4 linked regions of the Struthio camelus genome follow. The main gene of each other region encodes a partner of the protein of the gene in region 2 in a complex. Links are inferred from orthologs where the notes say so. Each region holds a gene or a part of one and is shown on either strand. Other genes may lie near its edges. The genes, in order: PPP4R3B, PPP4R1, PPP4R3A and PPP4R4.

The links.
Region 1: PPP4R1 (region 2) and PPP4R3B share a complex: the UniProt entries of both Homo sapiens proteins name them as parts of the PP4 complex. The link is inferred for Struthio camelus from reciprocal best matches to the Homo sapiens genes PPP4R1 and PPP4R3B.
Region 3: PPP4R1 (region 2) and PPP4R3A share a complex: the UniProt entries of both Homo sapiens proteins name them as parts of the PP4 complex. The link is inferred for Struthio camelus from reciprocal best matches to the Homo sapiens genes PPP4R1 and PPP4R3A.
Region 4: PPP4R1 (region 2) and PPP4R4 share a complex: the UniProt entries of both Homo sapiens proteins name them as parts of the PP4 complex. The link is inferred for Struthio camelus from reciprocal best matches to the Homo sapiens genes PPP4R1 and PPP4R4.

What each region holds. Positions count from the first base shown.
Region 1 is NC_090944.1:118,654,450-118,661,464, reverse strand, and holds the start of PPP4R3B (serine/threonine-protein phosphatase 4 regulatory subunit 3B), read right to left. Parts: upstream 3,012-7,015; 5' UTR 2,759-3,011; coding exon 2,617-2,758; intron 1,437-2,616; coding exon 1,381-1,436; intron 1-1,380. UniProt on the Homo sapiens protein: Regulatory subunit of serine/threonine-protein phosphatase 4 (PP4). May regulate the activity of PPP4C at centrosomal microtubule organizing centers.
Region 2 is NC_090943.1:116,180,933-116,188,022, reverse strand, and holds the start of PPP4R1 (serine/threonine-protein phosphatase 4 regulatory subunit 1), read right to left. Parts: upstream 3,009-7,090; 5' UTR 2,757-3,008; coding exon 2,750-2,756; intron 2,649-2,749; exon of another isoform or gene 2,557-2,648; coding exon of another isoform or gene 2,549-2,556; intron 2,297-2,548; coding exon 2,252-2,296; intron 2,179-2,251; exon of another isoform or gene 2,136-2,178; coding exon of another isoform or gene 2,117-2,135; exon of another isoform or gene 2,002-2,116; intron 1-2,001. UniProt on the Homo sapiens protein: Regulatory subunit of serine/threonine-protein phosphatase 4. May play a role in regulation of cell division in renal glomeruli. The PPP4C-PPP4R1 PP4 complex may play a role in dephosphorylation and regulation of HDAC3.
Region 3 is NC_090946.1:65,507,885-65,515,240, forward strand, and holds the start of PPP4R3A (serine/threonine-protein phosphatase 4 regulatory subunit 3A), read right to left. Parts: upstream 3,011-7,356; 5' UTR 2,389-3,010; coding exon 2,247-2,388; intron 1-2,246. UniProt on the Homo sapiens protein: Regulatory subunit of serine/threonine-protein phosphatase 4. May regulate the activity of PPP4C at centrosomal microtubule organizing centers.
Region 4 is NC_090946.1:66,790,173-66,797,892, forward strand, and holds the start of PPP4R4 (serine/threonine-protein phosphatase 4 regulatory subunit 4), read left to right. Parts: upstream 1-4,716; 5' UTR 4,717-5,236; coding exon 5,237-5,353; intron 5,354-5,849; coding exon 5,850-5,923; intron 5,924-7,228; exon of another isoform or gene 7,229-7,304; intron 7,305-7,720. UniProt on the Homo sapiens protein: Putative regulatory subunit of serine/threonine-protein phosphatase 4.

The sequences.
Region 1 (7,015 bases), on a different chromosome or scaffold from region 2:
TCTCCACAACAGAAAACTAAAGCTGCTTCAGTCACTTGAAACTTTCCTACCAGTTAAGGAAAGAAGGTTCTCAAATAAGAAGCAGTAGTATGACATTCCAAAAAATAAGACTGTCAAAGGAAGCAATTTAACTTTGCAGCAACATAATCCGCACTTGTATTGCATTATGTATTAATTGCCTCTACAAATACGGAGCAGTTCAAGGCTTGTGACTTTCAGAACCCTGCAGAGCTCCCATAAAGACTCTCCTCTTTCCTCAACCTGGCCAGACCGAGCAAAATATACCAAACTACATTGATGACCATCATCCAACTGACTAAATACACCAAAATAAGGAGTGAAAAATAAAAACTACAGATAACGGAGACCTCTGAAAAGGTACGCCCAGGGCTTTAAGGCTCCCTCCTAAACTACAGTCAGCCAACCTGTGCTCAGAGCTAAATCTTTCTACTGAACGAAAAACAAACAAACGAGACCTTCTTACGTTTGCCTGCTCACGATTTCAGATGAGCAAAGTTAATTGTTTTCTAGTGCTGAGAGATGTCTGGATACTATAACGATGACAAGCAGTATAAAATACTGAACAAAAAAAAAAAACAACCAAAAAAGATAATCTACTGTGGGACAAAGGAATAGACAGAAAGGAAACAAACAACAGCAGTAAGCCATGAGAACAATGTAGGCAGGGACACCAAAAATGCATGCAGAAAAAAAAAAAAAAAGCAATAGAAGTGATAAAAGCAAAAGAGATTTAGTAAGCTAATTTTTCAGTGGCTTAACAAAGACAGCCTATTACTATAGCTCCCTACTGTTTCACTTTTTCGGCTTGCAGAAGGCTTACCCCCACCCAGGAAAGGCAACTGTGCAAGTAAGTCTCACCAGGCATAGTAATTTTACTCAGGAGAGCAGAAGTTTTCAAGGCTTAAAACAAAAACAAACAAACAATAACAGAAGTCCCACAAAGACAAATTCCTTGGTGTTATGTCTAAAAAAAAAAACCTTAAGAAACAAATATAACGCAATAGAGTTGGACAAAATTTTGCCTTCCTAATGAGGTAATTACTTTATACAACCTGGGGTGGGAGACAAAATCACACGCATACGTTTCTAACTATTTTTCTGTTAATGAGCTCAATACTTTGCACATATTATCTTCAAAACCTAAGTCCAAAAATATTTTTGGGAGACTGACATTTAAATTTCTAGAATGCAAAACAGTACAGCACCTACAAGCTTCTAAGCTAATTTTTCACCTCTGTGGAAAACACCACCAACAGTTACATGTGACATTTTACCTTTTTCTGGAAATCACAATTAGTTTGGGCATTACGCAAATTCTCATTATCAATAAGGAAAAAAAAAAAGCCTAGTAATACTTGCCTGTTGTTTTTGATATGCAGTATTTGGATTTATCTTCGATTCTAACAGCAGTGAACCTGGAAAAGGTATCAAGACAAATTTACCAAGTTAAACAAAACAAACATCTCCATAGATTTTACAAGAACTGCCCATATGCCAGCCAACATATGCTCACTGTAGTCCGCGTCTTCCAGAAAGTTCAAGAGAACGATCACTTTAAAATATAGTCCTCTACAAATAAGCCAGGCAAAACACAAAATTCAACCGAAATAACCAAATTAAGTTTAAGATATGTTTTCTTCTTCTACTTTAGACCAAAATTCTCCGTAGTACTTTTTTTTCTCCTAGAACATGGTGTGACAACTAATATCTTTGAAGGCCATTTAATAATTCTGTACGCGCTTGCAGCAGATAACATGTTGTACAGCGTAAAAATGTATTTGTCCACACAAGCCATGTGGTCTTTTTACTACTATTTCCTTGAACCGTCCTTCAGAAGTGAATCATCCAGATGCTATAAACCCAAAGACTCTGTGTATGCAAGCAGTGTACGTAGCCTGGCAACAGCTCCATAGTAATTTACACCAGTCTTAGGTGGTTTATTTAGCACATTAGCACCTGTTGGCTGACAAAGTGGCGAGTGTCTCTCCCCCCCCCAACCCAAGATCCATAAGGTGACTTCAAAGTGCAATAAAAGGTAAAGAATGCCACCCAACTCAATCATTTCAAAATACAACGAGCGAATTTCTTAAAAGAAACTCTACAGTACCAAGAAAGGATGAGAAAGAGTACGTCAAAACAGAACAAAATTGTTCTGAAACTGTCATCGCATGTAACAATTTCACCTCTATCAGTCAAGACGAACAGAGCCACAGCTAGGGTAACTGGAAGAGTAAAAAGCCTAGGGTCGCGCTCATCAACACTGCTGCAACTTATCAGAAGGAAACGTTGAAGGAAAACACAAGTCGTAGAAAGGAAAGGGGAAAACAATTCCTCCCGGGTCTTCTCTGATAAGCGCGCCGGGGAAGACACCACCGGCGGAGCCCCCGCCGTGGCCGGTGTCAGCGCCGGCGAGCGGGGCAGCAGCGGGGGCGCAGGAGCGCGCCGAGCCGCGCCGCGCCGCAGGGGTCAGCGCGCACGGCCCCGGCAGGCGGGCGGGCCCCGCGGCCTCCGCCGGTGCGGGGCTGGGCCCGGGCCAGGGCCTGGGCCCACGGCGGGGCGGCCTAGGCCTCCGCGCGGCCCCGGCCACGCTCTCACCGTCCGACTCGGCGCGCACCAGCAGCGACATCCCCTTGAGCCGCTCCACGTAGGTGGAGGAGACGTGCCCCGTGCCCCTGTCGTCCCATTGCCGATCCTCGTTGAGGGTGTAGACCTTCACCCGCCGACGGGTGTCCGACATGGTGCAGCCCCGGCCTCGGGCCTCCGCGCCGGCCCCGGCCCCGAGCCCGGGCCCGCTCCGCCTCCGGAGGGGGGGGGGGCGATGGAGCGAGGGACGGCGGGCGCGGAGCCGGGCCACTCACGGGCAGCGCGGGGCCTTTAACGCGCCGCTTTTCATGGCTCCCCGACGGCGAGAGGGCGACGCTGCGCCCCGGCTCGGCCCCTGGCTGCCGCCGCTCCGCCGCTACCAGAGCGCGGCCGCCATCTTGTAACCCGACTCTCGCTGCCTTTCTCTTCCTTTCAGCGCCAGCCACGGGCTCCACTCGCAGGGGCTACGGCGGCCGCGAGGCGACGCGCGCTCGCCGAGGCGACGAAGGGGGCGGGGCCAGGGGCGGCCGTTGGCGGTGGGGGGGGAGGGGCGGGAAGGGGCCGGGCCCCGCTGCGCAGTTACCGGCCCGGCAGCGGCCCTCACCTGCCGGCGCAGCGAAGAGCGGGTGCGCGGTGCTTCACAGCCTCGGCCTTCCGATGCGCATGGCCTTTCTGAAGGGCTGCTTTACATCAGAAAAACGGCAGCCGTGTAACAGTTAAAACACAAACAAACAAACAAACAAAAGGAACACCTCCACCAACAAAAAAACCCGCAGACTCTCAAAAAAGCTGGTACCCCGCCCAGGGTATCCACGTCTGCACGGAGAGAAGGGGAAGAGGCTTGTACGGGACTAGCTCCGTGATGCAAACTTCCTTTAACTGAGAGATCTGCGTCCTGCCTGGCTTAGTTTTAGGAGCTATACCGGAATAACACAACTTTAAACAAGGCCTAGTATTTAAAAAAAAAAAAAAACCGTTTTCAAAGAAAAAGGTTGAGGATTCTCTCCTATCATAAAATAGCAGCAGTATTGTTCTGTAACATCTCCTCTGGCCCCACCGCAAAGGCTGCAGTAACGCATTTTGTTGCGCACGGTTGGCAAAGCTTTTGGGTACAAAGAAGTGTAAAGTTGGTCTGTGAAACCTGTCAGTGAAAGAGCTGTTTAACTGGTCCCTGCAAACGCTGTGCAGGTAAAGACAGACCCCTTGCCAGACACACTGAAGCTAATAATTTTTTTTTTTTTTTTTGTACTGAAGAGCAGTTATACATTTTCTCTCAGTACTAAGAATAAAATTAATTGAAAATTAAAGTTTACTTTAATGGATACACGCAAATGAAGGACGAGAGCAGCGGAACAGACGCTGCTGGGCAAAAGAAGGAAGGATGTTGTATTTATGGCTGGTTAATGTACTGGGAGAGTTCAGTAAACCTCAGTATGCGCATGAGGGCAGGGGAAAAGGACACAGGAGCGTACAAAGGACAGAGCTGTCCGAGACAGTGGGGCCCTTTGGGGTGAGGGCAACTGGCAGTTTCTTGGACCATAAAAATCTTTCAACCTCTGGAAGAGAAGGGAGAGGGGAAGAGCAAGTAACCTGCAGGCCAGGGCGTCTCGCAGGCCAGAGTTTCTCTCAGTCCCAGGCAAACCCAAGTTCTCCTAGCTCTTGCCTAAGCGAGAAAGCAATTACACCTGAATAGGTGTAAACACTAAAACACTGTCATTTCTCTGGTCTAAGTTAATCTCCTTCCAAATGGAAGGGAAAGCAGCAGTTTACTGCAGAACATGCCACTGTAAGCAACTATATGTCACGCCTTCATGATATTAAAAAAATATTCTCCGGGAAAGCAAAATATTATTCAGAGTATTTATGTAACATTTAAGTCTCATGTTTAGATATTCTGCTCTGACATACATTGTTTGTAACAGGCTTATTTAAAATTCGCCACTGTTCAGTACGCTGGACATTTGCCAGTCACTGATCATTTCTTGGTGGCAGCAAGATGCAGTTTTTGAGCAGCTGGCTTGTTTCAGCTGATCAGCTGAAAAGTCTAACATTTCTTAAGAGGCAAACTGATGCGTCTGAAAACTCGTTAGTCTGCCTATTTAACATCTGCAAGACAATCCACATATAAAAAAGGGTAAGAGAAAGCTTAACTGAAGAACCCTTATGAGGGTTCTGGGGAACTGAGGTTCAACCCCCGTTGAACCAGTTTTTGTCTTTAAGAGGGCTCACTGGAGACACGCAGTCATTACTTTTCTTCTTTGCAAAAGACGTTAAATGTAAGATGCACTTTTGAGAACTGTCATATACACTTGTGCACAGCAAAGTATGTTCAAGGTACATCATATAGTTAGAGGTAAGTAACTGCTTGGAAAAGGCCATGTTATCTTAGTGAGTCTCAAATTGTGGCTGGTGAAACCACATTAAGCAGTTTACAGCTGGGTTCCACATAAGCCTTCCTAGCTACCTGTCTGGCCTTTGCCCTGTTATATGGCCCGATGCCCTCAAGGTTCTACCCATCAGGCCTATTTTTGTCTCAGTAAAAGCTCAGTAAAACTGCATGAGAGAAACACAAAACCCAATGATCAGCGCTGTGCTGCTTCAAGATGTTTGCCACTCTTGGGCTCCTTCTCCCCTCAACAGCACCTCTACACACACTCTTCAATTTCTCAAACAACAGCATGTAAAAGTTCAAATACGGCCACTCTTACTAAAGACTAAATATGGGATTTATCCAGATATACAGAATAGCTCAAGACCACACTAGAACACTGTGGAGCAAATTCTCATCTATCATTGTGAACAGCAATGAAAAGAGTAGGCGATACACGAGTCAGAATCGGAACAAAAAATAATTTCTCGTTTTAGGGCTATGTAATAAATCTGTGGCCTCTCCACACACGAGAGCAACCACCTCTATGGAAAAATGCCACTCCAGAACATGTCCCAGTTGTACTCCTGCAGATGTGGAGCTTCTTGCGTGCAGAACTGCACTGAGAACTCCCCAGCTACAGGAGAACTTGGACCAGGGATGTTGGGAACTGGGTCGCTACCTTGTAATGTTTTCCACTAAAGCTCAAGCCAAATCTGTGGGCGCTTTGCCTGAAGAAGATATACAAGACTTGTCCCAATGGCTCTTACAGCTTTGATTTAAAACCAGGGAAAACACAAAAGACACAAAACAATGCATGCAAAGTGAAAGTCAGGAAAATCAAAGCAGCACTTTTTCACTGTGCTGCTGCACCTGCCAGTAGCCCATCTCTCCCCATTATCACAAAGCAATGAGCTGGAGCTGTTAGAAACAGCTCTCTGTTCTTTATTGAAATGAAGAATTCCATTAGGGTGAACTCCAGACAGAGCAAGTCATCATATGTCACAGTATGGAGCTGCAGGGAGCTCTTCTTTTTTAATTTTTGCTTTTAAAACAAACAAGAAAAGCAACTAATTCCTAAATCATGTAAAGGTTCTTGGAGTGAAATTAAGAGACCATACCATTCCCTCTGGCATATAATCCCAGAAGTACAATTCTGCCACCTCTAATACTGTCACTACAATACCTGCAGTATATATTGCTGGCATTTAAGAGTACCCCAGCTCCTGAAGCTTTGTGCCTACGTGAATATTTCAGCATTGTCAAATGAAGGAAATTCCAGCCCTCTTGGCCTGGCAGAAAAATATAGCACTAGAGCTTGGATGTGATGGGAAGGTTTCAGAAACTTTATTATTCTTTAAACCAACGGAAAGCACCAAGTTTTGTTCGTACACAACAACAAAAAAATGGAACTTCAGTAGACAGTGTGTTACTTTTTTTTTTTGTTTCTATAAAAGTAACCTGTTCTTTCCAATGTTAGTGCATTTACTCAGTGTGCTGTCTCGACTGCTAGCTCTTCAGAGCAAAGACCAACTCTGCTTATACAGTGGTAGTGCAACAATACTCCAGACTTTAATATCTTAACACAAAAATACTAAGACAGCTTATTTGTCTAAAAATTATTTCACTAGTTACACATACAGGTCTGAGAAAAAGCAGTGTAAATGAATCGTCTTCACTGCAGAACACAAGTAGTAGACTTAGACTGAAGTAGTATTTTCATAGCTCTCTCCATACTGAAGCATGGGAAAAGTATGCACGTGAATTTAAGTATGATTTGCTTAGAGGTAATACATTTTTGCTTGCTAAGCCTATATTATTTTAAATTGGGCACCGATAGCTGACAACATAAAATAGGCCAGTTAAGGTTATTCTTACCTTTCGGTGGAAAAACAGATGTGGAACCATTTTTTCAGAGAAGTTTCACTCAGAAGTTGGACAGATCCTGTGCAAGTATCCAAAAAGTTACTTGCTATATGCAAATCTTCCTTTACAAGAATTGTCACTCAATAATTCTGTAAGTATTTAGGATACCAAAGAGTT
Region 2 (7,090 bases):
CTCCAGTGTAGTTTGCAGATGAGATGTTTTTATTGTTGCTGCTTGATACCCAGTCAATTAAAAAACACAAAGATTTACTGAAAATCTATGCCAGCCAGTCTATCTCATCTCAGTCTTTTCTTATAATTCATACTATCTTACATTTACATAATTTCTAAGTTATACCACTTGGACTACAGGTATGCCCACGCTTCCTTTTCCTTGCTTGTCCTTACTATAGCTTAGCACATCTAATAGCAAGACCACAGCTGGCAGAACTGCACACGCATAAAAGCTGCCTGCACTTCCAGTGTCCTCACAAGTACATTCTACTACTTCCGGAATACGTCTCAAAACCAGTTTCTAACTCCAATGCTGAAAACAGTAGCTTTCAAACGTACAACAGAGAGGTACTGTAGGCTGGGGTTTCAGGCCTGGGAAAGCCAGGCAAAAATTGCAGCGTTTGTCGTTTTTTTTGAAACTGCCTATTTCACATGTGCAAACATGAAATGTAATCCTAAATAATGCATCAACTGGGAAAGCTTTCATAAATTGCATAAGACCTGTTGTACATAGATACAAAGCATGACTATTTCAAAGAAGTGTAAGAAATAACGCTATCGACTACATACATACAGTCTCTTCAGTCTGTGTTATTTTTCTTTAGCTCATGTCCACCTCTCGAAAACAAAATCACATAAAATTCAAAACTGTAGAAGACATCAGGTGTGACCAAATTATGTCCAGACAGCACATGCTGTTTCATGCAGATTCCTGCTTTCTCTAAAAATAATACACTTAAGTAATGAGCTATTCACTTTTATCTACTTCCATCAGAACCTCACTAATTTTTTATGAGGCTTCAAATTTTTAGATTTCTATGGCTGCTGCCTTCAAAATGCTCTCATCTGAACTGAGTCATATCTCCATGCATATATAATTTCTTCCTTTTTAAAGGCAAGACTGCAACATTCAAGCCACCTCCAGGAACCCAAGGATTACAAATCATCTCTCTAAAGACTATAATCATTTCTTACTTCAACTACTGTCTTACAGTCAAGAAAAAAAAAAATCACAGTCTAAGTGGAAATTAAAAAAAGACATACATTCTTAAAAGTGTGACACTTTTCTAAAAGTCCTCACCTAATCACAAAGTTTTCAAACAGCTACACTACCAATCTGATTTTCAAGCAATCAGAACTGGGTGGCGAGGGGGAGGAGAGTCTTACAAAAAGGCTCTCTCTTTGTGCAAGGCAATACACAACATAAAAAGAAATAGAACAAATTTTAATCAGTTCACAAAACAGAAGACAACTAAGATGTTTCCAGTTAACTTCTGGAAAGTGTAAATAACATTCCCAGAAGCATTTAAGCCAAGAAAGCTTTTACTGCTGCAATCTAGTCCTTGTGAAGGCTGCACAGTAGACAAAGTACCTTCAGACAGTGACAAGGGTCTGCAAACCTACAGCAGACCGCATAGCCGAAGCCTATGCTATGAATCACCTCAAGAAGAGCTGACGCCTCCATTTTCACTTTCTATATAAAATTCATCTGGCTTCCAAGTTCTTTTAACACTGACACTACCCATATACGTCCTTCTCACCTGCATTCACGTTGCACAGCCCTCACTTTCAACCTTCATACCTCTGAACTAGCACTTTGAACGGGAATCATGTACTGCAACTTGCCCCCCCCCCCGACGTAACACTTTCCCAAACATCGATTCTCCTTCTCCCCATCAGTTGCAAGAAGAAGGGGGCTGAGTGGGGGGGGGGGACACCAAAACAAAACAAACTCCACAGGCCTCAGGCTCGAGAGCACCCACCCGGCTCATTCCTCCTGAGAAGCTCCCCACGCAATTCAGGAGCGATGACCGCCCCCTCCCCACCCGCTCCCCCCCTTCCCCGCCTTAACGGCTGCCGCGCGAGGGACGCGGCCCTCGCGCGACGACCGTTAACGGCAGCTCCCCGGCGCGCCCGCCCAACGCAGCGCGTTTCCCTGCGGCCGCGTTAGCCCGCTTACAGCAGCCCCTCACTCCAGCCTGCCCCGCTCCGCAAGCCCCCACCGCCGCCGCCGCCAGGAAAAGCCCTGCTCAGCCCGGCCTTGCCCCCCGCACGCCCGGCTGGATTTTATGTACATAAGGAAGCGCGGAGCATGGCCTCCTCCTCCTCCTCCCACAATGCACCGTGGGCATTCACATTTGAAGCTACTTCCTCAACCGCAAAAAAGCCCCCGGCCCGTGGCCGCCCCAGCGCCCCCCGGCCCCACTCACAGCCGTCTATCTCCTCCTGCAGGTCCTCCTGGAGCAGCGACAGATCTGCGGGAGACACACAATGTGCCAACGCGCCCCGGCGCATTTCACCGCCGCCGCCCCCCGCGTGTCCCCACGCCCCCACTCACCCACCCACCCACGGGGCCCCGCCGCCCGCACGCGCCGGGGCCGCGCTTTGCACCCGCGCAGCCCGCCCGCCGCGCCCCCCCCTCCACCAGGGGAGGGGACCCCCACGCACGCACCTTACCGGCGCGCCCACGCGCGAGCCCGCCCCGCGGACCCCCTCCCCCGCCCCACCTTCGCATGCCAACCCCACCCCGGCGGCTCCCCACGCACGGACGGAGACACGGGGAGGGGGCGCCGCTGCGGGAAGCGCTTCCTAAACCGGGGCGGGGGAGAAGGAGGAGGGGAGAGGAGGGGGGAGGAGGGCTCTGGTGCCTCGCTAGGGAGGCGGCGTGTGTGGAAAGGGGGAGGATGGAAGGGGGGGGTGCTACCTACCCGCCATTTTGCTGTAGCCCCCACGGGGTGCCGGGCTACATTGAACCCGCTGCGGAGCGGCGAAGCGGGGCGGCGGCGGCGGGGGGGGGGGGCAGGCCCGGCGCGGCGGCGGCGGCGGCGGCGGCGGCGGCAGCGGCGGCGGCAGCGTCTCCCAGTGTCCCCGAGAGAGCGGCGCAAGGAGCGGGCGGGCGCAGGAAGGCGGGAGGAGGGGTCTGGGCTGGACACGCTGCCCCCGCCTCCGCCCGGCGGAGCCGCGCTCGCACCCGGCCTCGCCTCGCCTCGCCTCGCCTCCCCGCCCCTCGCACTGACTCACGCCCGGAGCCGCCCAGCCCTGCCCGCGGGCGCCGCGGCCGGGGCACAGCGGGGGGCCACCGCCTCCCGGCCGCCCCGCTCACCTGGCCGCGCCGCTGGCCCCAGCCCCGCCGCTGGCGGACCCCCCCCCCCCAGCCGCCCGCTCTGCCGGGGCCTGAGCCCGCTTGGCACTGACGCCGCTTCCCCTTGGCCCGGCCGGCTCCTTCCTAGCGTCTTCCCCCTCCCCTCCCACCCCCCGCCGCCTCTCAAAAGGCTCCGGCTCCCCCGCTCCGCACCGCCTGGCGTTGGTGCTGCCCCGGCTGCTGGCGGTGAAGCCAGGCGGCCCTGCCCTCGCCCGAGGGGTCCCCACTTCGGGCTTCGTGGGGTCACCCCGGCGAGAAGGGTCGCTGCGAAGCGGGCAGGCCGCAAAAGTCTGCGCCTTTGGGCTTTGTGGGGTCACCTGCCAGGTGTCCCGGCCACGAAAGTCCTCCCGCGAGCTTTTTAGTGCCACCCTGCAGAGAAGGGTCCCCACGAGGCGGCCGGGTCACAAAAGTCCCGGCTTTGGGGCTTTGTGAGGTCACCCTGCAGAGAACCGTCACCGCAAAGCGGCCGGGCCACCACCCGGACACCTCGGCCGGCTTAGCCAGCCGGCAACCTCCTGCCTGGCGCGTAACTCGCGTGGAGGCACCTCTACAGTTCGGCTGGTGAACCGGCCCTCCGAAACCGGGGGTGTTTTTGTCATTAATTGTACTTATTTTGATAGATTTTTCCACTGTAAATTGGAAGATTATAGAAGCTGGATAAAACAAATGCTCTAATTTGCAGCTACCCGTAGCACTTGCTAAAGAAAAGGACCGTTACCGAAACTGATGCTAACTGGGAGTCTTGAGTGTTCCACCATCTTTTTGTTATCTCTGTAATCATCTTTGGTGTTGTTAAGATATAGAATAGCAAAACAAGTTTTTTTTTGTCCATTTTATTCAGAAGGGATGCAATTTTAGTAGATCAATTTTTAACTCAACAGGGTTGACGTCATGTCTTGTAAGTAGTTTTTTAATACCGAACCATTGTTTTCATTTTATTTTGTGAATCACTTAAGGATTTAATCCCTATAGTAATTCCTTCTTTTTGCCATAGTGGCTGAAAATGTATAATCTTTCTTGAAACTGCACACATCCTTTTCCTTCCATTCCTGTAAGAACAAACTGCTTTCTTTCACAGCTGTTCAAACCTTAGAGAAATCACTAGGGCCCACTGGATGCAGATTATCCAGCATTTCTTTCATTCAAATATATAACCTTAAAAACTGAGTAAATCAAGTAAATTCACCATGACTACATGATATGGACCATGCTATTCTCTACCAGTGTAATTTAAGAGAAGACTCGGTAGAAATATTTGACATCACAAATAGCTGGCGATGCTGGATATGATAGCAATAGGCCTAGAACACAAAAATAAAGCATACTCAAAGAACAACTTTTTATTAGCTCCATTACTGTACATTACTTCCAGGAAGGTTTCTTTCTTCTCCACGTTACAGTCTTCACCATAATCAAGGCCTGGTTTTCTTCTTCTGAAGTCAGTAGCAATTGCCTAAAATGTATGCACTTGCTGTTCTTGAAGGAACCAAGGTTTTCCGTTCCTTTTTCCTACTCGTTACAAACAGGTAGTAATGCATACTAAATATAGATTACTATGGTCTGAGAGCATCAAAACTACCTTGACCATTTATGTAATAGAACAGGGTAAAATGATGAATGCAAGAGAGCATACTTGACATAATTTAACACCAATTTTGGGGTCTTCCTATGTGAATGGGGTATTCCTAAGTGGTGGTTAGTTCTTTGTTTGTAGGTGGGAATATGGATAGGGTCAGGGTGATTTACAAGACAAATTATAACTGCTCAGGAATTGCTTTTTTGTTTCTCCTACAAGTGAACTAGTAGACTGTTTTCCTCAGATGAAACTGGTCCTAGTACCATTGTTAGTAGTCAGCAGGAAAGGTCTCTTCCTATGCAAATAAAAATACTGAGGCAAAAACTTTGGCTCATACCGTGACACATACGTGGAGAAAAATCCCTTTTTTGGCTTCATGCCACCACACAAAACCAAATCCCACATAATGAATAAGTAACTAGATAGCCCTACTTCTAAACTTCCTGGCTTAAGGAGACCATAAATTCTATACCTTGATCTCCCCAGACACTATTTAAGGGCCTAACCTAAAGTTCAGGTTAATTGTCAGATTCCTACTGGTCACAAACAAGGCAAATAGAAACCTTCTAAGTATATTCTAAGAATACGCACTGATTCTCTCAGATAGTGTGATGAGCCGACTTTCATAAAATAATGTATCTAATTCTGAAAGAAAAATTTCATAAGAAACTTCTCATTTTATTAGCTGAAGCGTGTTAAGGATACTTTTGCACCTACCAAAATATTCTAGCCCATTTTGTGCTGGTGTTCTAATAATCTGTTTGACTACCCTTAAAGGCATTGGAAAATAAGAAATTTAAGGCATAGATAAACTCAAGTTTGAACGCTATATCCCAAGAAAAATACGCTCAAAGGATGGACGCCAAGGCTATGAATGAGAAGATACAAATGGAAGACACTGTGGCAAGAGTCTTCACGTGTGATAGAAGACATCTTTATTGCTATATATACGTGACTTATCTCAGAAAAGCCCATAGCAATTAACAAGATCCTTATAGTATTTATATAAAGTACTTCATAAATCTTTTCAAAACTACAAAAATGACCAAGTTAAACACAAGATACCTCATATCCACCTGAGTGTATTTGCAAAAAGTTATTCTGAAGTTGGGTTACTGACATTTCTTCAGTCAAAACTGCTGCAGGCATAAAGGCCTCAGGCTCGAGAACACTGCAGGCCCAAGAACTCACACGTGAAAATATCTTATTTGCTCTCCTTTGCTGTGAAGAAGTAAGTCTCCTTGTTTGATCAGAAAACAATGCCAGGCTTTCAATGACCGCAAGTTAACCCGCTTTGCGTTTCTCCCAGGCTTCCCTTCCTGTGTGGGAAGTCCTTCCCATAAATATCTGCAAAGCCATCTTGCTACCTTCCTTCAGATTCCTCCTCAAAAACTCTCTTTTCCTGTAAAGCCTACAAAAAACTTTTTTCAGGGTTAGACTTCTGGTGCACTGAGACAACTGCTCATCCTCTTGAGTAATACTGACTCATAGTTTTCTTGCCCTCCCCCGGGATTCTGTCTGCATACATCTGTTGTCTCTTGCTTTACGGTAAAACAATGAGTTGTCTACTTTATAGACCATCTTTTTGTTCTTTTTGTAGTGTCTAGCTCAAACTGGCCCATGACTGAAGCTCACAAGCATTAGACTATATATACCCACATAAACAAATGAGTACCTATAATACAAATGGACATATGTAAAAACCTGGAGGCTGAAGCCTGAAACATGTTAATTTTGCATTTGAAAATACATCATCTATTGGAGCATTTATGCTAAAAAGGGCTGTACATTGTAAAGCCTTCTCTTCCCTTCCCTTTCCTATTACCTGTTGTGCTTTTCTCTCCCCCAGTAAAAAATACCTGAGTTCTTTTTTTTTTTTTGACTCATCACTCGTGGATGACAAATTTTTTGATTGTGCACCACAGTTTTATTTAATTTCCCCATTTTCCTGAGTAAGAGCCTGAGCTGGTGATTATTTGTGAATATCAGAATGCAGCTGTCACTGCTCCAAGTGCAGGCCTCGCAGAAAGATTGTAAACAATATACATATTAGTAATTTTGCTGACTGCACGTGAATAGTTGTACCTGTTCAGGACTCTGCTGAGATACAGGATTTGATGGATCTAGGAGGCTTTTTGGTATGACAGCCATGAATGAATTAGTCTAAATTTGCTGACAAAGAACTTTGCTAACGTAAAGTTAAGTTTGCCTCGTGGGTATCTCATGTCATTGCAGGAAGTCAAGTTCAGTGATAATTAAACTTCTGAAAACTAGCACGTACAAAACTGAGGCACCTACTAATGCAACCTTAAGGCTGCACTGGGAGCTTGC
Region 3 (7,356 bases), on a different chromosome or scaffold from region 2:
CTATGTTTTTGATAAATGAAGTGGTTGACCATGATTTTTCTAGTTAGGAGAAAAACAAGAGCTATGGAATACAACAAATTTCATAGTATCTAAAACATAAGTCTGGCATCACCTTTTTTCAAATCATTTGCCTGCATTTATAAGTGACTGCATCTGCCTTCAAAATTAGCTTACAAACCAATTACCAGGGTAAACAAAATATAAATCAAATTTTAGGAGGTGTTTGCGCAAGCAAGCTAGAAAAACTAAGCCTATTAATAGACTGCACATTTGACCAGGACTGATCCTACCTACTAAATTAAGAACTTTAGCTCTGTATATTATTCAATACTGTTAAAGTATATGCTGTTTGAGAAAAGTCCAATGTGTGTATTAAATAACTGCAGCTAATGCACAGAAGCATAAGTTTGAACAACTCCTTCTTTAACTATTTTAGTGTCTGAACTGTGTAGCACTGAAAGTAATGACTCCACATTTCCTCTGAGATCACTCACACCAGTTTATATTTTCCTTTTTACAGAAGTTCATTTACAATAAGTAAGCTGGCAACAGCAGTTGAACTCAGGTACAAATCAGTTTTAAACATACATATCCCACCTAAAGTTGCTAAAATGGTATTTTAGTTTGAATGGACAATTACTTGAAATCAAGTTACCAACTGCAGTACTTTTGCTTTCTTCTGTTAAGAAAAGGAAAAAAAAATCAGAAACTTTAATCATTAGAGTATAAAAACAGGACATGACAGTATTTAAACATTAGCTAAGAGAGTCTCCTGAGTACAGCAGCCATGTAGACAGCAAGGACTATATCTACAGTAAAATATACTGGAACACAGGATTAGTTTAAAAGTTGAGTGATGACCTTCCTTCTCTTTTAACCTCCCTCACTCATGTCGAAACTAAACTAAGTCTACTTCCATTTTGAATGTTTTGTCATACACTAGGAAGCTGGTCAAACCAAAATAAAGACCATAGCTTCTTTAGTAAAAGAAAACTAAAAAACAAGTCTTGAAGACAAACAAGTCTTAAAGACATCTTGTCTTAAACACAAGACTTTAAAGAATAATTAATAAACTACAAAAATCTGAGATTCATGCTTATCAGAAACTTAATGATCAAAATCCTGCTCAGATGCAAATTTGACTCCTCCATATCTGCGTATTATCTCTTTATTGTAGAGACTGCTGTACAGTTTGTCAGAACTTTCTCAGACATGAGATGATTCTGGAGCTGCCTCTCATCCAAGTTTCTATAATGAAAAGGCCAGATAAAATAACAATAATAAAAATAAAACGCCTATTGCCAGGCACAAGTCACAACTAGATCTTTAAGTCACTAGATAGAGTGGCTATATATTTAATGAAAAAGTCAGTCACGCATTGACAGACTTTACTAGCAAAATAGTACACACGAGGTATTGCAAGATACGCTGTTTAAAATCTGTTCGGACCGCAGCAGTCAGGAAATCACTCATCCAATAACCAAGACTAGTCCAAACATGTAGCTACAGGGGTAAATATTACTACCACTTAAACTGTAGTAGGTTTTGCCAAAAATCGTGAAGGATTATGCATCATCTTAAGTTTATTTACAGGCAGATCTAAAACTGCTGAAGGATTGAAAAATACTATTTCAAGAAAAAAAATAAAGCATCTCTGAAAATGCTATTCTGTCCATTGTGTTGTCTTTACTACTACAACTGCACATTGATAATTATTGTTAGCTGCTAGTGCCCTGTAAAATCTTACTACCAAAGAAAACAGGGTGAAAAAAGAAAGAAAAATAAAGGATGTTAGCCATCTAATCATCCAATGACTTTTTTTTTTTTAAATCCCTCCAAAAGTATGGTCTAAGTTTTAAGCAACTCCCTTCATGAGGGGGTTGCTTCCAGAAACATCCAAGGAAGCATTCACAATGATCAGTTTTGGGTCTGGAGTAGACTAGGTATCATCAGATACCCAATCTTGCACAAGACTTGCAATTAGACTTCATTGTATTTGGCATGCAGTACTGTATTCACTACGAACCAAGTGCCTACTACAATGTTTGCACTTGATGGCAATCGTCCATTCCTTTCACTTGGCCTAACAAGAATGAACTATGGCTGATGCCTACTTGCTTTCAGGAATTACATTCGAATTATGCAGCAAAACGTTAAGGCAAGAGACATACATATAAAGCCAACTCCTACTCCTTTTTGGAGTAGGACGAGGAAAGGCTCTAACAGCTTCACATATACACACTTACCATCACTCTCTGCCCTGACTAGCAGGGACATGCCCTTCAGCCTCTCCACGTAGCAAGAGGACACATGCCCTGTGCCTCGATCGTCCCACTGGCGGTCTTCATTTAGCGTGTACACCTTCACCCTCCGCCGGGTGTCAGTCATCCTGCCGCCTGCCACACCACTGCCACCACCCTGGCTTGCAAGACCTGAAGAAGCGGGAGGTTGGCGGGGGGCTCGGCCCCCCTCAAAGGAGGGGAGCGGGAAGGAGGGTAGCAGCCCCACACGGGCACGCCAGGAGAGCTCTTCTTAGTCCTCTTCAGTGCTCCAACACGATCTTCATTATCGGCAGTAACAGAGGATTGGGGGGGGGGGGGCAGGAAGGGGGGCCGAGGCGGTGAAAGGCGAGCTGTTCCAGGGACAGTTAGGTGCTGCACAAGAGGCGACCAAGCCTAAGCTGGGGAGAGCCGCGGAGAGGCTCCTTGCGGGGCGAAGGGCAGGCAGAAGCGGCGGCCAGGAAGGGGTCCCGGAGGAGAAGCGGCTCCACAGGGCTGGAGGGGCCAGCCGAAGGCACGGGCGGCGGCGGCCGGCCGACCGACCGGCCCGGGCTGACAGGAGCGGGCGACCCGGCAGGCCGGGGCCCTGGCGACGGGCTCGGCGCGGCCGGCAGGAGCAAGCAGGCGGCGGGAGGCAGGCGGGAGCGGGGCCGCTCGCCCCGGCCCGAGCGCGGCTCTATTGTGCGGCAGCTGCCCAGGCCCGAAGCCCCTGGCTCGCCGTCCGTCAGCGCGGGGCTCCCAGGAACCGCCCTCCTTCCCCGGCGGGGCTCGCGTGGGGCCGGCGGGCACCGCCTGTCCCGCGGCGGGGCGGAGCGCGCGGCCGGGCTCAGCGCCCCGTCTCCCCCATGGGCTCCCGTCGCGGGCGGCGGATCACTCCCAGCCCGACTCCGCCGCCATATTCTTCTTCCTCCTCCTCCTCCTCCTCCTCCTGCCGGTGCTGCGGCGGCGGCGGCTCACTCGCGGCTCCTCAGCGCGCCCTGCGGCGTGGCCGCACTCCAGGCACTCAGCGGCGCAGCCGGCAGGCGGGAGCTCTGCCCAGCCGAAGGGGCGAGCGGCGGCGGCGTGGCGCGGCCCGTCCAGCCCGGCTCCCACCGCCTCTGTCTCCGCCTCAGTCACTGCGCGGCCGCCATCTTGGTTTCACCTCTCACTGGAGGCGCGGGGTCTCCCAGCCAGCGGCGGCACGGGCCGCCCGCCAGCGCTTAAAGGGCCAGCCGCCCCGCTGCGGCCGGGGTCCGGCGCCGGCCCCGCGCTTCCTTCCGCGCCCACGCGTGGCCGCAGCGCCCACGCCTCGCCGCCTGGCACCGCGCAGCCCCCGTCACGCAGCACGCTGCCTCTGCCGTCCCTGCCGGGCAGCACACACGTGGCCCCGCGCGGCCGTGGGCGCCGTGAGGCCGGGCGGGGGTGCCGCCAGGGGGAGCAGACCGTGGGGTTGTCGCGGCTGTTTTGTTGCGCGCGTCTGGAGCCGTCCTCTTGCCAAAGAGTGGTTTCATGGGGCGGGGGGGGGAATCGGATCTTTTTTTGGTTGTTTTTTTTCCCCCCGTCGCCCCCTGCTGAGTGATCCAAAAGTTAAACGGCTTCTGGTCGAGCGGCTCTTGGGTCTGCGCGACCTCTAACAATTGCAGTAACAAGCCGAAGCTGTTGAGCCTCTGCTTTTGCCGCTGCTGCCAACATCTGAACATATGTTTGACAGATTCCCCTTTTAAGGATGGATCAATATTAAATAACAAAAAAAAAAACCACAGGCAAAAACCACTAGTGCCTTTTGGAGCCCACAGACATATCGCCACGCAAGCGAGTCCATTTCAGAACATGGTCTGGACATGCTACGTACATGGGAGCTCACTGCAATTTATATACTTAGATTGGCTTATTTTTCAAAGTATTCCATATTTGTTTATGAAAGTGAGTTATGTTGGGGCTGATATAATTACTGGCTTGGAAGGACTTGGTTTTCTGAGAACCGTAGGTTATGGGCCCTGTTGAAGGGAGGCCCTCCAGCAGCACGGGCACAAAAAGGCGCTCAGCGCCCCCGTCTTGGTGACCGAGGAAGCCCCCGGGTGGCCATACCTGGGGAGGTGCTGCTCACGCGTTTATCTTGGGCAATTCTGGAGATGGATTTTTGTGACTTCAAAACAGGCCAACGTCACCTACAGAAACCTCTGTGGGACAGCTGCACTCATTTACAAATTGTACCCTCTGGTGGCCGTGGGATTAACAATAGACTATTCTTTTGGTTTTTTATTTTTTTTGGTGAATTCAAAAAAAGCTCAATCAGATTTTAGTTGGCATAGAAAGTTAGCTTTGTGCACATTTGGGGTTCAGCTTTTCTTAATTTTCTTTGTATTATCTTAATATCAATCTGAACAATGCTCAGTCCTACAGTATGCCCGCTGTCAGGTTTTATCTCAATTCTCATTGTATTTGGTGGGGGATGTCATTTTTTTCGAAACTTTCCACCGCAGTGATGCCAGAAGAAAGGCTGGGCATTGACGGCATCCTCCCATGATGGAAAGCAGATGCCAAAGAAGAAAACACTCAGTTTATTTTTCTCAGAGTCATGATTTAGAAGACAAAATTTGCCACGTGACATCTCAATTCCTTCTCCATTTCCAGAGGTATGAAGTATTGTGTGTCCCAAAGGAAATATCTTCAGGGATTCTCCTGATATTGAGAGGTCATCCTTAACTGAACCAAAAGCTTAGGCTCACTTAGTTCCTGTAAATAACCCAGCACCTTGTCCTGGCAGTAGTTTTGGCCCACCTGGAACTGAGTAATAAATAAGGAAATGGAGTATTGAACACAGTTTTAAACCTTTCATATCCTTAGATATATAAATGCATATGGATCAATATACTAATGAATAAAGCCTAGAAGGGGTTTACTACTGAGGGCCTCCTGCACAGCAGTCAGAACTAAGGAAGATGACTTTTTTCCTTCAATATCTGCTCACAGCTTTGGGAAAGAAAATTACATTGTTAGGAGGAACTCCATTGCAGACATATATCTTGAAGGTATGCACTAAAGCATGATTAGAGCTCCTAAAAACATAGCTAATGATTTTCTGACAAAAAAAAATCATATTAGAGAAATTAACAACTTCAGACTTTATTATGATAAAGATGAAAAAATTATTAAAATCAAAGTCTCTGCTTGCCTGAGTTTGATATGGTTACATTCTGTATGTGAAAACAAGGTTAAAATCCATACTAAATAGAGCACAGAGAACTGGCTGTCTAGAGGGCTTATATCCAAAAAACTGTGGAAAATGAGTGACTGAGAAGAAACATTATATAGAAAAATTGTAGCAAAGTAGGGGGTGTCTGTCCAGAAGAAATTAAGCGGGACATAACTCAGACAGCAAATTCAGAAAAATACATTTCTAGTTCAATGGGGAGGTGAACACAACAGTTAGAAATAAACATAAACAACAAGTAGAAAAATGACAATTCTAGCAATCTGCGCAATAAAGCTAGAAAGCATAGAAAAATGGATGAGGACATCAGAATATGTATGGCTGGTAGTTTTAGGAACAGCTCAAGTTTTCCAAATCTTAACGGTATCCCAGGCCTATGATATCACAACTAAAAAATTTTTGATATTGATACAAAAAGTAGAACTGTTTAACATTTTTTTCTATACTTGGAAAGAATTTTGATGTATTTATATCATATGAAGATGACTAAGTGCCTCCCTGTTCATTACTAAGAAGCACACTAAATAACTTATCTTAGAGATAAACATTTGAAAATATGCAAGTCCTAAAAAATTGGAATTTGGGAGTCCTAAAGAAGTTTGCATATGTGAGGTATGAAAACATGCTAATTTTTTAAGAAGCTGCAAGTATTGCAGAAATTCTGCAAGACATGACACTTTGTAAGAATTCAAATAGGACATGTTGGAACAGATAGATAATAATGGACTGATTTATCTGACAACAATCACAGACCAACAATAAATACCGATACACAGTATCGGTAAGAATTATAAGATTAGAACATAGCGATAGCAGCTGATGTGGCTTTATGGAAAAAAGACTTTCAAAATTGTTTAATCTCTTGTTAGATTACAAAGTTGCTTGTAAGAGTAATGGTGCAGATATAATATACTTGGATAGTTCTCAGGTATTTTTCTGGAAAGTCGGCATTGTATGCTATCAAGAAAGCCCACGCCACATGGGTCAGATGCTGAGAGACAGGCATAGCTCAGAACCATTATTCAGTGGAGGTGACTCCAGATAATCGTGCAGAAATCAAGAGTGGGACTGATGCTGTTTAGGATTTGTAGTAATAATTAGAAAGTTAATATAAAATCTCTGAATGAAAATTGTGTATGGCAGAGAGAGACTGGAAGAGTTATAAATATTGCTGAGGACAGAGTGGTCAGGAACAGCTTGGTTCACTTACTGAAAGCCCTGACTGACGAGAAGGGATGGCTTAGCCTGGGACAGCTGCGAAGGTTACTGGCAGCTGCTTCTGGCCTATTCTGGCTGTACAAATGTCTGTGAGCTCACGAAGCACCTCCCAAATTGTGACAGCGTTTTTAAGGCAAACAGTGACGCTTTTCCTTAAACTTTGAGCTGTAAACTGGGTTGATTGAGGAGCTGATGGATAAGCAGCTCTGACATCCAGAGAAGAAGGCAGGGTGGGCAGCTGGGGATGTCCTGGTCGTGCTCTAACTTAGACCTCTTGAGTGGGACCATTGAGATATAGCACAATACAAGACAACACCTATAAAAGTTAAAGCACCTCTGGAAGAGGCTGGGCTGCATAGCGAACAAGCAATTCAATACTAACTTCTTACATGAGTCTAAAAGGGCTAATACCTTTTGGGTGCATTGTAAGCCAGCAAGCTGTGGAAGAATTCAACATCAGGACTATAGCTTTAATGCAATGTTTTTATAACTCTGGTGTCATTGTTTAAAGATTTTGAGAAACTGAAATGGGGCAGAAAGGATTCCCCTTAATGACTGTATATTTTGCAGATCGAGGGTTGGCTCACTTCAGCATCTCAAATTCCTGCTGTATGCACAGTTTTGCACACATACCCTATGAATCATGTCTCAGATGCTGTTGCTCAG
Region 4 (7,720 bases), on a different chromosome or scaffold from region 2:
AGATGATTTTGTGGAGTGAAAGGAACTGGTTAAAGAAGGAAGGGAAATGCATATTTCATTTGTGGGAACACACTCGTGTGTATATTAATGGACTAAGCCATAGGGTAGGTGGAGATTACTAAAGGAATTCCTTAAAGATTAATGTTGTGGACTAGTCTTATTTCAAACATTCATTAATGACCGTGACACAATATGAAATTTGCTGATGGCACAAAGTTATTAATACAGAGGAGAAGTACGACATCAGGCAGATTGGGAGGACTTTGAGGACTGGAATAATGGGATGAAATTTACTCATACAAAGTGCAGGACCATTCAGTGAAGGCTAATACTGAGAATTTAGACTCTAAGACAGGAGTTAATTAGTTTTAGACGACTGTGGAAGAGAACGACCTCTTGTATCAATTGATCACAAGGTAACTGTGAGCTGCCAATGCAGTATATTTGGTAAGCTATCTCTTGAAGATATTCATTCTCCATAAAAGGCATTACTTCCCTGAAGCTGCTGTCTACAATACTATATAAAATTCTGGTCACCTTAATTCAAGACAGGTGAAGTCAAACTGCAGCAGGTGGGAAGAGGCCAATCAGGATGACCAGGAGAACTGAGAGCCTGTTTTATGAGAGAAGACTAAATGTTGAGCTTAGCTTGTTTAGCCCAGGATTAGAGGAGATATGATTGTGATCTTTAAATAGCAGGAAAGGAAGAATGCTTTAAAGTAAAGTACAATGCTGGTACATGAAGAAAGTAGGTAAACTGGCCAACAGTAATTTTAGGTAGAAAATCTGAAGTTTCTATAGCAACCAATGAGTAAAGAATACTGGAAGGCAAAAACTGGTTAGTTTTAATATCAGGTTTGTCTTGTTTATGACAGACTGCTCACTGTTGTCATAGCAAGGAACTGGAGTCATTGGCTACCTTTGTATTAGGAATAGAAACCGTGTGCTGGTCTTTGGCTCTGAGGCAAGCTGGCTTGACCGTGTTCACAGCAGTAAACTCCCTTAACCTCCCACACAGGGCACTCGTATCCTTGCTGCCTGCCGAGAATGGTCTGGGCTGGTGCTAACTCCTGACCTGAACGAAGGGACTGTTTGGGGGAATTCGTGCTGGCCTTGGGGACCGTTCTGGCAATGTAAGCAGTACGGAAGGCTGAGCTCCAGCCCCTGGGCCTAGGCCCAATATTGTTTAATTTATGTAATTGGTTCCAGAGATTTCTTCAGCTCCCTGCTCCTTTTTAAGGGTTGAAAAAATTCCCCGTAAAATATTGTCTAGACCTCTGTACTTACATACTGACGTCACTGAGATTTTTGCCATTGTCGATCTGCTTTCTAAAATGTAAATAAATACTGTTTTATGTGGATACTTCAAAAGTTAGTAAATCTGGGCAAAAGATGTGTATTTTTAAAAAATAGAAAAAAAATCACTTAAACTTCATAAAGCAATGTGCTATTAGATCCTACTCCGGATCAGATATTCACAAATAGCTAGAAGGTATGAGGAAAATAGCAATACATATTTACTCTGTTGTTATTTTGTCTTCCTGCATGTGTTATTAACTGCTTTTGGAGACAGGACAGCAGATTAGACATGGCAGGAGAGCTAGCTTTTCTTAGAAAGAATAGAGAATGCAGTCACCGTAATCTTATACATGTCATATTGCCTAAAAAAGGATATCTTTTGTGTACATATAAAATAACCTTAAAACCTTTTTGTTTCTTAGATCTTAATGGAGAGTATTAAGTTATAGGAAAGCATTGGGAGAACGGTTCACAGGTGATGAAAGCACAATGAGTACAATCCTGTGTTTTTCCATATACCCTTTTTAATTATATAGCTGTTACAATCAGTTGACAGAAGTGGCAAAAGAGCAATCAGAAATTTTTTGCAAATGACACTAGGACAATGCAGCAACAGTTTCTTAGCAACAAACTGGAAAATATGCTAAATAATGTTTTTATCTGACTGAGATTTGTATATACTACGTTTCAAGAATTGTTCCAAAGTAGACAGATTTTTCTGTGTGGTTCTTTTAGACTAATGTACTTACAGGTTTGCCTCCACTTGGAGTTTTGTTTGTTTTTGTTTGTTTGTTTGTTTTTTGAAGAGTAGCTTTTCGTGGACACATTCTTCCTTGGGGTAAGAATAAAATAAGAAATCTTGTTTTGGAATATCTTAATCCGAAAAATGTTTTTAACATTTATTAAATAAGCAGTAACAAAGCATTCACCTGTGAATCTAGACTTTTATATTCAAACAAGCTCTTGTCCATTTCGTTTTCTTGATGCTGTACTTCCACATCAGGAACTTTATCTAGATTGTGAACTGAAAAACATATCTGAGTCATGTTTCCAGTGAAGTGAAAGTACTGTGGTCATTAATAGAAGGAGGAGATAGTGGTTTAAATATGAAGCCAGGAATTGAGGGGAGAAATGTAAGCTTAAGGCATTAGATGGAATATCAAAGCTGCATTTTTGAAGGGTTTGGTGGACTGCAGTAAAGAGCCATCTTGGTGGTGAACAGACTGAAATGAAATTTCTGCACACTCAATTTAGGTGCTGAGTCCTGGCAGAACTGTGATTATGCAGTGCATGAATTACATAGTGTACAGCTGGAGAAGGCATGTCCTTCTGTATCTTCCACACTAGGTCTTTCATATCGCAACTGATTTAGGCATTGCAACACATTCTGAGACTTGCTAAATTTTCAACTTCTCTGTGAATAATCTGATTTATAGGTTAATTCTCTGGGAACGTATAACAGGTAAAGTAAGAATCACAAGCTTTTCAGAGCAATTTTGAAAATGGAGACACCTAACTGCTGGGTAACAAAGCTCTAACTGCAAAGGTTAAAAAAAAGAAGGTGAAGAGTGGAAATGAGTCTTCATTGTAGAGTCACTGCCAAGTATGTCAAAAGATTTTTTTTTAACTTGGGATTAATTTAAAAGCATTCATCAGGGGAGGTACCTGCTTTGGACTTTTCATTAAAATCAGAAAGGCTTATAAAACAGAAGATTTCTTGTGAGTAATTCCGTTTTGCAAGAGTCCTGGTAGTGGACTAGGACACAGTGAAGGTGTCCTAGCACACCTGACCCAGAAGGGAGGGGACACTACTCAAGGCAAGGGTGTTGCAGCAGGGGAAGTGGAGCAATGTGGAGGCTGTGGCAGTGGAAGGGCAGCTCCACAGGGGCCGTGGCAGTGGAAGGGGATCCCTGTGGCAGCCGTGGCAGTGGAAGGAGATCCCTGTGAAGGCCGTGGCGGTGCAAGGGCAGCTCCACAGGGGCCGTGGCAGTGGAAGGGGATCCCTGTGGCAGCCGTGGCAGTGGAAGGGCAGCTCCACAGGGGCCGTGGCAGTGGATCCCTGCGGCAGCCATGGCAGTGGAAGGGCAGCTCCACAGGGGCCGTGGCAGTGGAAGGGGATCCCTGCGGCAGCCGTGGCAGTGGAAGGGCAGCTCCACAGGGGCCGTGGCAGTGGATCCCTGCAGCAGCCGTGGCAGTGGAAGGGCAGCTCCACAGGGGCCGTGGCAGTGGATCCCTGCAGCAGCCGTGGCAGTGGAAGGGCAGCTCCACAGGGGCCGTGGCAGTGGAAGGGGATCCCTGCGGCAGCCGTGGCAGGGGAAGGGCAGCTCCACAGGGGCCGTGGCAGTGGAAGGGGATCCCTGTGGAGGCCGTGGCAGTGGAAGGGCAGCTCCACAGGGGCCGTGGCAGTGGATCCCTGCAGCAGCCATGGCAGTGGAAGGGCAGCTCCACAGGGGCCGTGGCAGTGGAAGGGGATCCCTGTGGAGGCCGTGGCAGGGGAAGGGCAGCTCCACAGGGGCCGTGGCAGTGGAAGGGGATCCCTGTGGAGGCCGTGGCAGTGGAAGGGCAGCTCCACAGGGGCCGTGGCAGTGGATCCCTGCAGCAGCCATGGCAGTGGAAGGGCAGCTCCACAGGGGCCGTGGCAGTGGAAGGGCAGCTCCACAGGGGCTGTGGCAGTGGAAGGGGAGACCCCTCCACTGTGTGTGGCGGTGGAAGGGGAAGCAGTGGAGCGGGGCCGGCTGCGCCGGGCGAGGCCCCGGCAGTAGGACGCATCCCCCGGCGGGTGGCGGGGGTGGGGGGGTTGGGCTGTGCCGGGAGCCCGGACGGGGGTCGTACACGCGGGAGCGGATCCCCGCACAGAAGGGCCTGCGGGCAGAGGTGACGGCGCAGAGCGCCCTGGCGCGTGTCCGACCCCACGCCCGTGTGCGTCCCCGCGCGGCGCGGCACAGCAGGCAGAAGGGCGGCGGGAGGCGACGGCGGCGCGAGACGGTTAACGGCCGGGGGGGGGAGGGGGGAAGGGGGGCGTGCCCCGGCCCTCGCGAGGAGCGGCCGCGCCCGCGCCCCCAGCGCGTTCGGCTATTACCGCGCTCGGGAAGCTCTTTTGCCCCGCCGAGGCCGCTGTAGCGCCGCGTTGCCCCGGCGACCGGCTCGGCGGTGGCAGGGCGGCCCCAGTGGCGGCGGCTGGGAGGCGGCTCCGCGGGGCTGGCGTCGCGCGGGGGGCGCTGAGGCGCCGGAGCCGGGGGCCGTCCCGGCGCGGACGCCGCGGCAGTCGCTCCCTGCCGTCGTCGGCGGCGGCGGGGTGGGGGGGACAGCTGCGCTGAAGGAGTGGGCCGGGGCCGGGGCCGGGGGAGGGGAGCGACACTGCACCACGGCGGCCGTCCCTCCCCCCGGGGCGGGGAGGGCAGGGGCGGCCCCCCGGGAGGCTGCTGGGCCGGGGCGCTGCGCGGCCGGCCGGGGCTGCTCCTTCAGCCGGTGCCTTCAGTGAGGAGAGCGGGGCGAGCCTGTCGCCCGCAGCCTGCGCTGGAGGAAGGGACTCGGCTGTCTGCTGCCCCCCGCCTTGCCTTCCCCGCGGGCCCTGAAGCGGCCTGGCCCCTCGCCCCCCTCGGCGAACACGGGCAGTCCGCGACGAGAGGAAAGTTGGCTCCAAACTCTCCCTCCGCTTCCTCGCCCCGGGATAACAGCGAGCCGCTGCCTGCCCGCCCCCGGGGGGAGCGGAGCGGAGCGGCCGGAGAAAGTTTGGCGGCGGGGGGCTGTGGCGGAGGCGGGCGGCAGCGGTGCCGCAGTGTGTGCGCTGAGGCGGCGGGGCTCGGCGGCTGCCGGCGGCGGGAGGCAGGCGCTGCTCGCAGACTTGGAGGGGGTGTTGCGTGGTGTCAGTCGTTTCTCCTCCAGTGCGATGTGAGACTCGGAGAGAGCATCGGTTGCCAAAGGCTCTGGTTGTTACATGCATCCAATAATCTTCTTCTCCAAAATGGATTTTACTCAGAGCAATTTATTTGGATACATAGAAGACCTGCAGGAGCTAACTATTATAGAAAGGCCAGTACGCAGGAGCCTGAAGGTATCTACTTCAAAATTGAATGATGCTTTAAAATCCATTTGAAATTTTTGCTGCTTGTATTTATGCACTGCCAGCTGACCAGGCAGTTTATTTTTACAGCACCAGAACATTAAAGCTTGTTTTCAGTTATGCTGGAATATACAATCTTGACTTCAGTATAGCCAGGAGTTAATATTTTCAGTGTAAGGGTGTTAAGCTGGAAAAAATGGACTAACATAAGCCTTTAATTTATATGTGACGTGTTTATGCTGTGTTTTAAATGATTAATAATGAGAGTATCTGACATGAAACTGTACTTTTATTATATCCCATCTCTTCCTGGTGAAAGATTTATTTGACTGAATTTGAAATAATTGGCTAGAGATTTCAGGGGTTAAATTCAAATTACTCATGTAACTATCCTTGAACATGGGGAGGAAGGGTTTGTTTTAAGAAGACTAAAACAAAGAAATAGTATGGCATTGTAAATTCATAATCTCTATTTCACACTTGACAGACACCAGAAGAAATAGAAAGATTGACAGTTGATGAAGAACTCAATGATATTGAAAGGGCTGTTTATCTACTCAGGTATTTCCTAAAGTATTATTGTGAAACACTGCTGACCATCATGTTGACATACAGTTTTTTGTGCTCTTTCTCCTTAGTCCTTTTATTTTCTATCTTTACATAGTAGTTGTTTTATACTTTTGGCTACATTAGGTATATAGGCAAGATTAAAATAGACACTGTCATTTTGTTAAACTTGGATGGAATAGGATGCCTGTGTGGACGTACGGATATTTCTTTGCCGAGTTTCTAATATGGCCCTCAGCAATAATGAGTTGTACTTCGTCTTCTTTTTCTCTGCAATTGGTTTTGCAAGATTCCCTGAGTCAAGTTGACATTAATAAGAGCAATCATTCGGTGACTTCATAGTCACTCTAGGGCATGGGCAGTTACCACGGACTGATAGCAGAGCTGTCTGAACATATTGTATACGTTTGCGCTATCAGAAGAGAAGACTTAAAGATTAGTTTCATAGTCTTTAGGAAATACTGCAGAATACATTATTTTAATATTAATCAATGTTCTGTTTTTTCATTTTATCTTCCTCTTTAAAGTACTTGAATAGCTTAAATTTTGATGGATTCAAACACAAATCTCTTTCAACTCTGCTGCAAAAGTAATCTCTGAGAGTAGGAATGTTCTGAGGCATTTTGATTTGAATATGCGTTTTAAACAATACTTAGTAATTGGAGAACCAGCTGCAGCTCCTTCGCAGTTTGCTTATTCTGCTATTTTAAGTGCTCTTACAGCCTATGCCTGTCCTCAATTTAAAAATATATTTTTTCAATGCCTTAATTTTCTCTTTTTGGGTATGTGGTGTTACTTTTAGGTAAACATTTTTGTCCACTAGTAGTATTTTGATACTGAATTTTTTGTGTTTTTTCATGCTAATTTTTTTTCTTCATTAAGTAATGGAGTTTAAAACTTCCGCTACTGCGGATAGATACTACAGATAGTAATCAAAGTAGTCTTTTGGCTCTAGGGTAATCTAGAGAAACCAATGTCGTTGCATATCATTTTAGGTTTTTTTATCTCACAGCGATCAGCATGGTCATCTTTTTTTTTTTCTCCTTCATGTGAAGCAGCAGATCTCTTGCTCCTTTCCTGATTAAAGATAGTGTTTCCAACAATAGGTCGTTACTGCATCATTGCGTGGTTAAAGGGTAAAAGGTTTGACTTCATATTTTTTATCTTACTAATTACTTTTCAACTTGGCCTTGAACTCTTCTTGACATCCTCGTCTACTTTCTCTCTACCTGAACAGCTGTTCTGGGGGACATAATATTCACTTCCTTGTGATGAAGTTTTTATTTTGCTTCTTTGTAGTCCTCATTGCTGAAAGGTAGCTTCATCTCTGCTTGAAAAGCTTTTTGCAAGGCAATTATTTGCTGTGATTATCCAGGTATGTTTATACATTAATCCAGTGGAAGCTTTTGCTGTTCAGTAGTGCATTGCCTTGCTTGCACTGAGTGGAGTGTAAGCAAACAGAGCTGAAAAGCTGTCTGTAACACAAGTAGTATCCTTTATACAATGCGTAAAAGCATATATCATTGTCTTTTCCAGTATTTTTATGAATTAGAATACAACACACCTACTTTTTCCTGTTTGATGGTAATGTCATGGTCTTTTCATGCCTCGTTTTCTCCCACAGGAGAAAGGCATTACTTGCCTTCTTTCAACTTGTCCCTTATGTGGAACTCTCCTTGACGTTATCCCATATGACACTACCTTTTCTGAATATCCCACTATAAAATTTGCTTTAGTGAAATTGAAATGAATCGTCAATGATGGCTGTGTTCTGTTCAATTTCGAGATGGT